Linked DNA regions of Nothobranchius furzeri. The protein of the gene in region 3 interacts with the protein of the main gene of each other region in a pairwise test. Links are inferred from orthologs where the notes say so. Each region holds a gene or a part of one and is shown on either strand. Other genes may lie near its edges.

Region 1 (3,738 bases), on a different chromosome or scaffold from region 3:
TGACTGATGTACGACTAATAAATCTGTAGTGCTACACAATCTTTTCACCACTATACTTGATACAATGATCCCATCCATGTAATCAGTTGGTATCGGTTATTCACCGAGCATGCCAGGCACAGACAGGCTGGCTTTAACTTCTCTTAGCCATGAAGCAGAAGCTGCATTATGAGGATTGGTTTGGGAAGGAAGTGATGCACAAGTTACACTGACCCACTGAACCCATCGCACACGGGATCTAATCTTTCATTTGCTCCACAAAGAGATTCAGATTTAGGACCCGACAGGGAGGGTCAGATGACTCATGTTACTATGATCGGCCAGCACGACTGTTAAGAGAGCTAAGGGGGCCTTGCATTTGCTGTCGAGCAGCTTTACAAAAGGACCATAAATCTATTCACTAACTGATTTAACCAACATTTAGCTGCAATGATCTCAACTGATTTGATGAGACGTGCACGGTTCGTACCAGATTTCTAAATACCTGCCAGTCATGGAAAACCTCAGAAATTTGAATTTTATGTTTAATGGCTACAACAAAAAAAGCTAAGGAACGGATGGCTTGCTGTGGAAGAAAAATGGAATAATCCCAGGGCATGTTGTTACAGGTTTGGTTGCATCTCTCTTCTACCTGGATTTTCTCTCTCAAACAAAAACACTTTCAAACGCTCTGAAGCCTCAGACGGACTTCTTCGACTCATTTGCCCCAAAACAAACATCAAACAGCAAAAACCTGAATATCCACATGAAGATATATTTTGCTGCTCCAGCTTTGACAAAAACAAATGAAATGATTATTTACCCTGAAGCTCTTGTTTTCCATCAAGCCTGTAGACAACCCTCAGAAACAGTCTGATGGGAATTTTGTAGACAAGCCTCAAATCCGACTCATCGAGATAAAATAAGGGTTACAAACTCAGCCGCTTATGTGATATTTATCATCCAAACGTAGTCATTTGTTTGTTTTAGAATTAGGTCACTGTTTGAAGAACACTGGTGTCAAAGTTTTCTTTATATTTATGCATTCTATATTCAATAAATGAGCCCTAATGCATTATAAGGGAATTTGCTTTTTTCCAATACAAGCAATGGAACTCATACAATAAATATTCAAAGATCTGATTATCTTGCATAAAGGCTTTCAAACTGTTAGCATCAGATCAGCCTGCTCGTGTTTCCTTTACTTAAAACGGCGATGGTCCTGCTGCTCACGTTATCAACACACAGAAATGACAAATCAATGTTCAACCTATACCCGAGGTAAAACAAGAACATCAGAGCGGCGTAAAACATTATTTGCTTCAACTCAGGAGCAGAGAGGCTCTTAGAGAACAAGATGCAGATTGATCGGTGTTCTGCATCAAAATGGACTTGTGTGACGAAACATGAACTTACCTCCCGAGCGATACTACTCAAAGCCTCATCTTCTGCTGAGAAGCGATCTTTTAAAGGAGCACGCTTCCTGCCAGTGCCTTGTGTCCCCATGTCAGTGCCGCCACTGGAATGTCACCAATTTAGTGTGAACCTGGAACATCGACAGTTGTGTTTGTAAAAAACGGTGAAGAGCAGATGCTAAAGAAAACAGTTTAAACAGGTCTGGAAACAAACCCAAACACTACAGTAACACTGAGTAAACTGTGTACAGAAGATGGTCGTTCACGAGTGACTATATTGATATGGTTGTGTTTACTTTCTCCCGCTTTTAACTGTGCATGCAACAGCCCACACATTCCCCTGGGCCTCCCATCCATTCCTGCAAAAACAGACAGTCCATCATGTATGAACCCCATTTGGACTCCTGATAAAACAGTTGTGGCTGACAAGAACCAGCTTTAATGTGACATTTAGGATCTGTGCAGCCTCATAAATCAGCCTGTAAACACATTAGGAAAACATAAGTTAATTTAAAACAAACCTATCCACGATTATTATGTGATTAGACTCACTTACATTAAAATATAAATGTGTGAGATTAATATTGTGACTGCAGCTAGTTAGTGCCTTCAAGGCAGACTGTATTTAATAGTCAAATAATCAAGGAGTCCAGATCATTCAAATTGAATATTTAAATTCACAGGTACAAAACTACTAATGTTAATGACAGTTATCTGATCAGGAAATGAAGAAATTAGATCAAGTTTGAAGATGACAAAGATAACACACCTTAAGTCACAACAGTCAGCTGAAACGTTAGCACACACATACACTCAAGCCTAATCAAATGTACCCACCAGCTAATAATGCACAGAAAATAAATTTGATATTGACGACCAATATAAACCACCGTAAGTTACCACAGTAAACGCCATTTGTTGTTACTGGCCAGTTCACTTGCGTTAATGTGAGTAGCCACCTCTTCAGTAAGCTAACTTTGGGAATGCTAACTAGCATTACTTGCTCTCAGAAATGTCATTAAAAGTTTAAACCAATAAACTCATAGCGAGCCATTAATAATTCAAACGCTTAACAAGCCGAGAACTGTCCGTCCTCTTGATGGCAGCTCCGAAAACAACCTTAAGAAGCTTCATGAATCCTAGCTAGATAGTTAGCTAAGTTAGCTAGCGGGGCTAACCTAGACGCTCCTGAGAGACAGCCAGGACAAACTGACTGACTCTCCCGTCATATTTCCAAGACCAAAATGAGCACGTTACCTTTACGACAGTTTTAAAATAATAACACAATCGCGATCCTGTCAAGGTGTTGTCCCTTCAAGAGCAAGTCATTCGATTTCACCCCACAGATTAGTAGTTTTTGTCCACACTGACAGCTGTCATCAGTCCGCCTTTCTTTCCACGGATCTCCACCGTTCTCCACTGTCCACACACTGCTGGGCTGAAAATGCCCCGGATGTTTGGAAAAATTAGGGTGTGATGGTGCCTTCAGGTGCGGTCGGGAAATGTTAACATTATATCCATTTAGGGAAGGATTGTTTTCTACTTAAAAAAACGTATTCAGAAACGTCATGCCTTAGGACATAGAAGCGTTCTCTTGTCACTCTGGCAAAAACAAAGCAGAAACGTGTGATGTAATATTTTAATAACCAGAAAAGTTTCTCTGTCATTCCTTTTCACGATATACCAAATAACTTGTACGGTTAACGCATGAATTGCGCTCATTGTTTTCTTATATACTCATTCATATCTGAAATATGAAAACATTTTGAAATAACAGGAAAAATACAGTGTAAAGTTTTAACTTTTAACATCTATCCATCCACGGATGGAGTTTTTTTGAGGGGGACAGGACGGGAGGACCCCCCCCCCCCCCCCCCCACACACACACACACACACACACACACTTTTTGTCCCCTGCACATTTTACTGTCCAAAAACAATATGCTGCCATATTAAATCAACACTGGTTGAGCTATTGGACCAAGAAGAAAACAACCACTTTCCCATTAGAACCGTCCATAAGCTCACCTATTGGCTCTGCCGATAATTGCTAACGTGTGATTGGCCATTCCTGCCAACTGTGTACTTGTCAGAGCCTCTAGTCTGTAGTTTCACACATACTTACAGTAAAGACCCCACCCCCACCCAGTCTTCATGCCAGTTGTGTCCCCTCCCCCACTTGCAAAGTCAGAACAACGTCCATGCATCTATCTATTTTCTTCCGCTTATCCGGCCGGGTCGTGGGGGCAGCAGCCTAAGTCGAGAGGCCCACACATCCGTCTTCCCAGCCACTTGGGCCAACTCTTCTGAGGGAATCCCAAGGTGTTACCTGGCCAGGGAAGAC
Region 2 (3,753 bases), on a different chromosome or scaffold from region 3:
AATCTGTTCCACAGGTACGACAGGTCGTCCATCAAGCCGGCTGAGGGTCTCAGTCATGGGGGGGGGGGGGGGGGCAAGGGGGAGGAGTTGGTGATGGAGGGGAGAAAACATTCAGACCAGAAGACTTTTTAATGATTAGTCAGATGCAGAATCTCTACCTGTTTAGTCATGGAGTCGATGAGGCGAACATACAGGTCCTGCTCTGTTCGGATCCCTGCAGAGAGACGGAAAGGTGTTCAAATAAAGTGTGTGTGTGTGTGTGTGTGTGTGTGTGTGTGTGTGTGTGTGTGTGTGTGTGTGTGTGTGTGTGTGTGTGTGTGTGTTCTGATTTGCCCTGTGAGGCGCTTGATGGCAGCTATGTCATTTATGAGTGTTTTTTTACTTGTCAGCTGGCAGAAACTTTAAAAAATGTTTTAATTTTCATAAAAAGTATTTGTCTTACATTTTAATTCAAAAATAAGATGACAAATTAATTAGCTGCTTAATTATTAACATGTGAAACAACAGCTTTGGTTTTAATGTGTTTCAAGGCTTGAATGAATTAAAATAACACACTTTTAATTAAACTGGTGAAGTGTTTTAAAATGTGACATTTTTCATATATTTGCCAAAGTTTCCTCCTTATTTTCGGGACTAAGTCCACCTGAATAACAGCCCGGCAGCAGAAACTCACCGTTACTGTAGAGCAGCTGGAGTCTGTAATGAATCCCATTGTTGGTCTTTTCTCCCGTCGTTTCCTGTGGACATGAACCCGAACAGAACCGGTCACACACTCCTGCGTCTCACCTCAGTTCTGATCCATCAGAAAAATAAATGTGAGATTTCATACTGACCTCTCCACAGCACTTGAGCCGTTTATGGAGCCAGAATGAGAAGGTCGTCGGTTTGTTTCTAACTTTGTTAAAACTCACACACGTTTGTCTCAGTTTATAATTTGATAAAACATGAAAACAAATTTAACTCATTGATTGTTTGTTTAATTATTTTAAATAATCATTTTTACACCTGATCTGAGTGGTTGAGATATTAGAAAAAAAATTCGATTTGTTTAATTGTCTTCAAAAATGAAAGATTCACACACCGCAGCAAGTAAAAGAAGAAGAACAAATGGAGATGCCATTAAATAAAATAAACGTTAATAAATAAATCACGTATTTCAATAAACGAATGCCAGAAATAAGGAAGATGTTAAATCAACAAAAATCTAAGAGTTTATTTGGATGTTTGTTTAAAATAATCGATAATAATTGTTGATTATTAATATTTGCAGATCTTTAAGAATATCAAAGGCGAAAAGTGAGTTTTAAAGTTTTTAAATAAGATAAATGCAATTAGGAAATTACGTGGAAATTACTTTATTTTAACAGGGAAATCAGCGTTCCTGTAACAATAACTAGAGGTTTGTTCCGGAAGCAGCGTTTAAAAATCACACGAGAAGCCTTCAGGACCTGCTGTCTGGTGATTTATCACCCCGGCGACTAGGCTCGGCTCCAGTCGATGCGCCGCTAGAAGGACCAGCTTTCATTCAGTGTGATTTTAATTATCAATTAAAAAAAAAAGCTCCTAACTCACCTTTTCTTTTTCTACAAAATCCACGAAGGTGGTCCTCTCGATCTCCACCGGCTGGCCCTGCCGGTCGTACAGAGCCAGGACGAAGTGGAAGAAGTTGGACTTGCGGAGGTTGGAGGGCGGCTGCTTCTCGAAGTGAGCCCGAGCGAGACCCACTCCGCTGCGGATAGAAGCACAAGGCAGCAGCGGCCTCAACCACGGAACATTCAGATATCAGAAAGTGCAAAAATGACTCAGTTTAATTATTGAAACTGAGCGCTGACTGTCTGATCCAACAGCGCAGTTTGTTGTTTATTCTGCTGAACGTGCGGGTAATGTTTTTTAATTATGAGGCAACGAAATCATTTAAAGTTACCATCAGAATCTGAACCAGTCACAATAATAATAATAATAGTTATTATTATAATATTAAAGCCTGCTGTTAAAGGGTGTTGCTATAAATTAATGCTCATCAAAGCGTCCTCTAAATTTAACATTTTATTTATTGTAAAATTAACTTTAGACATTAAAAGTGAACAATGTGTGCAAACTTTTAAAAGTTTCGCACCATAAGACCCCAAAACACACAAAAAAGGCGCAAACTCAGCTGAAAACAGTTTAAACTCTGGTTCTTTTGCCTGTTTGAAATCAAACCAAATAAAATAAAATCTCCGGACCACATATAGTGTTTGAACGAGTCGAGTAAAATGCCGCGCGGAGCAGAGGTGACCCCCCCCCCAGCTATGCGTCCTCTGGGACACGTTGCGCCCCAGGTGAATCCACCACTCCAGATCAGACCCCGCGCTCTCTCCTCTCCTCGGTCTGAGCGGAGACAGCGCAGCGCCAAGGCCGCCTCAGGCTCACCTCTGGGCGGCTGTGTTGGCGTCCAGCACTCCGGCGCCCTGCATCCAGGTCCGAACCGCGTTCATCCCGGCCACCATGGGCTCCTCTTTCATACTACTCCCACTCCTCTGGATGCTCTCGTGGATGCCAAACATCAAAACGCACCTTCCCGCTGTCTCTATCTCTCTCACTCACTCTATCCTCCTCTCCTTGGCTCCCTCCTTTCCCTTTTTCTTCTTTCTTTGCCTTCCCTCCTCTTTGATAGCGCTGTCACAGGAGCAAAGTGGCGTGGTCTACACCGCTTGGTGTTTAGACGCGCGCGGTTTCCCCCTCAAAGTAAACAAAAGATGCGACATGTGGAAGGAAGAAAGGGGAGCTGTCAGCATCCAGAGGTTAGCTGCTCCTCATGTCAGCGACTCGACGAGAGGAAGAGCAGTGAGAAAGGATGAAAGGGGGAGCGCAGGATGAGAGGCGCTGCGCTGAGTTGGCGACAGTCCTCCGGATCAAGGTGAACAGCTGACGACAAAAACAAGCAAAATGTCAGACGAGTTCTATTGCAACAGAAAGACCAAGAAGACGAAGATAAAGCGGGTCTTTTGCTCCTTGTGCGCCGCGTCTTGATTTACAAGCTCTTCCTCCTCTGCTCTCGTGGATGAAACGGAAGATTACGCGCAATTAGGAGGCAGTTCTGCGCTCCCCGCTCGGCTGATTTGCACTCTTTTCTTCCCTGAGGAATCTCTCCGGACCATCTCTGGGATGCTAACAGGAGAAAACTACTAGGTGAAGGGGGCGTGGTCTGAAAAGCAAACGGAAACGCACCCAAGTTCATGGCACGAACAATCAGCTGTCCCGCGCGGCGTCCCGCCCCGTGCCCCTCTCCAACCTGAAGCTGTGCACTGTGCTTGAGCTTGACGGCGGGTCATAGCGGGTGGATCAGCCCCATCAAACTGCTGTTCTGGACAGAAGGAGAGCGGTTTAAACTTTGTGTGAACGGCACTGACTCCTGGCGTAAACGATGTTTTACTGAAAATCACTAAATGTGTTTTAGTTGTTTTTCTTGTTTTATGCAGGAATAAACCTTAAAAACAAAAAATAAATAAAAAAGCAAATTTCTGAGAAAATCTGCGCAACACGTACAGGTGTGCATGCGTTTAGCTCAGAAATAAACATCCAGGGTTGCTTCAGTGTCAGCTCTGACAGATTATCATCTTAAGAAAGTTTCAGCTCACCAAGAAGCCTGGCGCAATTCTCCCCCTCTGATTAGGCGCATTGCAGACCAACTTAGTGATGGATCCAACATAAACACGAGGATTACACACTAAACTGATGCGTTCCGCTATCCAAGAAACAAAAATGTAAAAA
Region 3 (3,753 bases):
AATTTATTCCGCCAGGAAAATATCCTGACTCTTCCACTCTTCTACGTGTAACCTTTACACTTATAAAAATATAGTTTTCTGTTAACAATTAATCTAGACAAACCTGATGCAGAGGTAAGACTCAAGAGAACTACATACAGACTAGAAGTGTTATGGCAATGATTTGCTCCATCAGGAAGCAGCCATCTAGCACTTGTTTATTTATCTGTATATTCTGCATCTCACTGATCTTTGCCATTTAAAGGATGCGAAACTGAAATAATACAGTTTTAATAGGTGAAGTTCTTCAGTCTCATTTCAAATACATGCATGGGCTAGAATTAGAAAATTGTGGATTAAACCGATGTAGGCCTTTTGAGAAATCAGAAATACAGTTTTCTTTCTAAAGGCAAGAAAATTCAGTATGAATCAAATTTAAGCAACAAAACACTTCGTGTCCCTGCTCACCTCTGTCAGCCCTTTTATCTTCAGGTAGCCACACAAGTAGGAATCTTCCATTGTGACATGCTTTAAGAAGAAAAAAAAAGATTTTCATCATCCAAGTCAGCAATAAACGTGCTTTAATCTACATTCGTATGGATCCCATGATTATGTTTCATAAACATGCTAAAACAGCCTGTTGGTCTTTGAAAATCATATCAAAAAGTCCACCTTTTCAGCAGCATTTAGTGAAAATTGACTAGAGACCAAGTACAACACTGATGATGGTCTGATTCAGGTAGGACAGAGTGTTCAGCTGTCAATCATCACACGGTCGGTTTGACACATCACATTAATGACTGTATACACGCTTCAATTCCTACCTGCAGGACAACCTCCACATCGTAGGAGTTCCCTTTGCTTTTCTGGTGGCCCCGAAACTTAGAGCCGCTGTACAGCAGCGAAGTGACGACGCCGGGCTGCTGAGTGTTTATAGGGGGTGGCGGGATAAGTGAGGCCGAGGATGTGAAGGCCGCTGCGGGTGAGTCGCTGATGTATCCAGCAGGGACGGGCATGGCTCCCACTTCGCTGGCTGAGCACCAACCACGGTCAAAACACTGTGTTCGCCTCTTCGAACAGCTAAATGTTTACTGAATACGCTCACCGATATTCAAATTTCACTTAATTCCAATGTAGCACAGTTTACCAAGCTGCTCGAGAAGTAAGTGGACTTGCTGTGCTGTAGCCAGGAGCATTCACCTCTCTGATTGGTCGACTGAGTTCGCCGTACGAAGATTCTAAACGCTTATTGGCTGAACGTGCAGAAGGATTTACGTGACTATTTGGTTGTAGTTTTTCCCCCTTTTGTAATGCAGCGCAAAGGGACTAAGAGGCTCCTAAAAAAACTACATTTCCCACTAAAGTAAACAGTTTACGACACTGTCAACCAACTCGCAAAGAAGGTCAGCCAGCGTGCTTGAAACGCCGGAGCTTGAGACGAGAACAAATGCTAAAACTGCAAACAGTCTGTAAATGATAGATGTAAATGTCATTCCGTTTACGATGTTGCGCTATTTTAAGTGAGAAACGGTGGGAAAAAGCTTTGCGATTTGTTTCTGTTTTATTATTAGCCTTACGCCAAAGTCGCTGAGCCATGTTTAGAAGTCTTATTAGACTCAAGAGTCCATTTGGAAGTGTTATTTCTCTTTACAACGTGTGCCCGAGGCATCAACACTCCAGTTGTACGCGGAAGTATTCCACCGCCACATCAGGTTAGACGGAAAATATTAGTAAATCCGTTTAGCTGACGATTTCATTAACCCTGTTTTCTTTTGCGATGTTGTGCTGTGTACCAGAGAGGAAGAAGTTTTATCAAGATGTAAGCATCTCCCAAGGTGAAGGTAAGAGGAAATGTTCCATTCCTGTGTTTACATCATTCTGTCTTATGGTTGTGCTAAATATTAATAGCAATAATAATCTGTACAGGTGGTCTCTACGAGATAAACCTTGACAGAAGGAAACTGAAAACTCCAGGTGGGAACCTGTTCGTAGTGCCTAATGAGGCCCTGGCCGTCGCTGTGGCAACAGAGTGGGATGCTCAGAAGGATACGCTCAAGTTCTACACTATGCATCTGGTATTTGGCTATGCACACATAAAGCTGTCAGCCAGCTGCCCTTTCTCTATTACGTGTGTGCGTGTGTGTGCGGGAGTTTGCATCTGCTTGGGACGGGATTGAGGATGGGAGGACGGAGATACAAAGGGGATCTCTTATGTTAATCTGTGTGGGAGGGGTGGGAAACTGGCTGCTGGGTTGTTTTTAATATTGTAAAGTGCTTTGAGCAGCATTTGTATGGAAAGCGCTTCATAAATACATTTTGATTGATTGATTGATTGAGAAAATAAATTTTAAATACAACGAGTGACTTCACCTCTGTAATAAGGGTACATTCCAGGAAATGCGTTGTCCAGCTGAGTGTGAGGTGTCCATTTATGGATTATATACAGTATGCATGCTTATAGCTATGTCCTGTCAGTTACTGAATCATGGATCTGATGTTCTTGCTAAACACTTCTTGCAGACGACTCTGTGCAACACAGCTCTGGACAATCCAACTCAACGCAACAAGGACCAGATGATCACTGCTGCTCTGAAGTATTTGGAAACAGACACCGTTTGGTAAACTTGTTATTTTTATATCTATATCAGATAAAACATTTGTTTATATAACTGAAACAACGGCAGGGTTATACAGCCCAAAAATAAAATCTCTGATTTTATTTTTTAAATTTGATTTACGATTCTCTCTCCCCCTCAATTATTAAGAATAGCAATAAGTACAAATGGAAGGCAACTTAAAGCCAATTTTGTTTTGTATTTAATCACAAGCAAGAGAAATGTTACCCTTATTTCTGAGATGAATAATGAATAAATGATCACCCTCTTGGAATAAAAGTGCCAAGCTCCACATCCGTCGCAGCAAACCCAAACCAGTTCCATACAAGGGATGATTTAATTCCTCTCGTAGGAACAAACTTCCCACTCTCACCGGTGGCCATGGAGTCACTTGCTGTTGCACATCCGTGTACGTGCTGTGACGTTGTTGTCGCGGTTATGTGAAACTAATGCTACGGAAGCTCCGGGGGGCCAAAAAGGCGCTATTACATAAAAATTTGATTTGCTTTCTTTAATCGCCAGCAACAACAAATTCGGCCTGGGTGATGATTTGATTATCGCCCAGGCCTAACTGAAACTAAACCAGGAAAACTAAGCATCCAGTAAGGATCAAAGGTCATTATACCAATATTTATACATCACTGCTTTTAACACAAGACAGTTGAGCTCAGATGAATGGCAGAGTAGATTTTCATAATCCGTCAAAGGTGAATGCACACAGGCCAGTTGAGCAAGTGGACACCTGATTATTTCTATTGTAGTAAATGCAAAATGCATTTTTCAATTAGTGATTCCATTTATTAAAGAATTAAATCTTTCCAAACCAATTTGACCCTTGGAGCCAGCAGCTGTCATCAAGCACATGTGGCTTTCACATCTCTGTGAAAGATTTATGTCCCGCTGCTCGTTACAGAAACTGAAATCAGCCACATTGGAGGGTTTTCCAGCATGAATTACCTGTTTAAGGTCAAAGGTCAGACATTCTTCTTCAGGATGTTTTGCTAAGGAAGCAGCCTCAGACCATCACACTACCACCACCCTGTCTGACTGCAGGGACGATGTCTTTTTCCTGAAATGCTGTCAGTTTTACCCCAGGTGTTAAATAGCCTTCATAAAACCAGGTGCAAGAAAGTTCAGATCTAAATGAATTAGGAAAAGA

What was found.
Region 1: the proteins of atpaf2 (region 3) and lrrfip2 interact in binary tests that used the Homo sapiens proteins (3 or more experiments, as listed by UniProt). The two-hybrid records come from large-scale screens. The link is inferred for Nothobranchius furzeri from reciprocal best matches to the Homo sapiens genes ATPAF2 and LRRFIP2.
Region 2: the proteins of atpaf2 (region 3) and ebf1a interact in binary tests that used the Homo sapiens proteins (3 or more experiments, as listed by UniProt). The two-hybrid records come from large-scale screens. The link is inferred for Nothobranchius furzeri from reciprocal best matches to the Homo sapiens genes ATPAF2 and EBF1.

What each region holds. Positions count from the first base shown.
Region 1 is NC_091752.1:5,388,291-5,392,028, reverse strand, and holds the start of lrrfip2 (leucine-rich repeat flightless-interacting protein 2), read right to left. Parts: upstream 2,840-3,738; 5' UTR 2,652-2,839; intron 1,526-2,651; 5' UTR 1,486-1,525; coding exon 1,396-1,485; intron 1-1,395. UniProt on the Homo sapiens protein: May function as activator of the canonical Wnt signaling pathway, in association with DVL3, upstream of CTNNB1/beta-catenin.
Region 2 is NC_091742.1:46,498,488-46,502,240, forward strand, and holds the start of ebf1a (transcription factor COE1-A), read right to left. Parts: upstream 2,673-3,753; 5' UTR 2,547-2,672; coding exon 2,413-2,546; intron 1,730-2,412; coding exon 1,573-1,729; intron 738-1,572; coding exon 674-737; intron 215-673; coding exon 159-214; intron 1-158. UniProt on the Homo sapiens protein: Key pioneer transcription factor of B-cell specification and commitment. Recognizes variations of the palindromic sequence 5'-ATTCCCNNGGGAATT-3'.
Region 3 is NC_091756.1:29,843,697-29,847,449, reverse strand, and holds the start of atpaf2 (ATP synthase mitochondrial F1 complex assembly factor 2), read left to right. Parts: upstream 1-1,360; 5' UTR 1,361-1,573; coding exon 1,574-1,691; intron 1,692-1,775; coding exon 1,776-1,820; intron 1,821-1,905; coding exon 1,906-2,054; intron 2,055-2,499; coding exon 2,500-2,597; intron 2,598-3,753. Other genes in the region: glucose-induced degradation protein 4 homolog, read right to left, coding at 448-507, 804-995. UniProt on the Homo sapiens protein: Plays a role in the assembly of the F1 component of the mitochondrial ATP synthase (ATPase).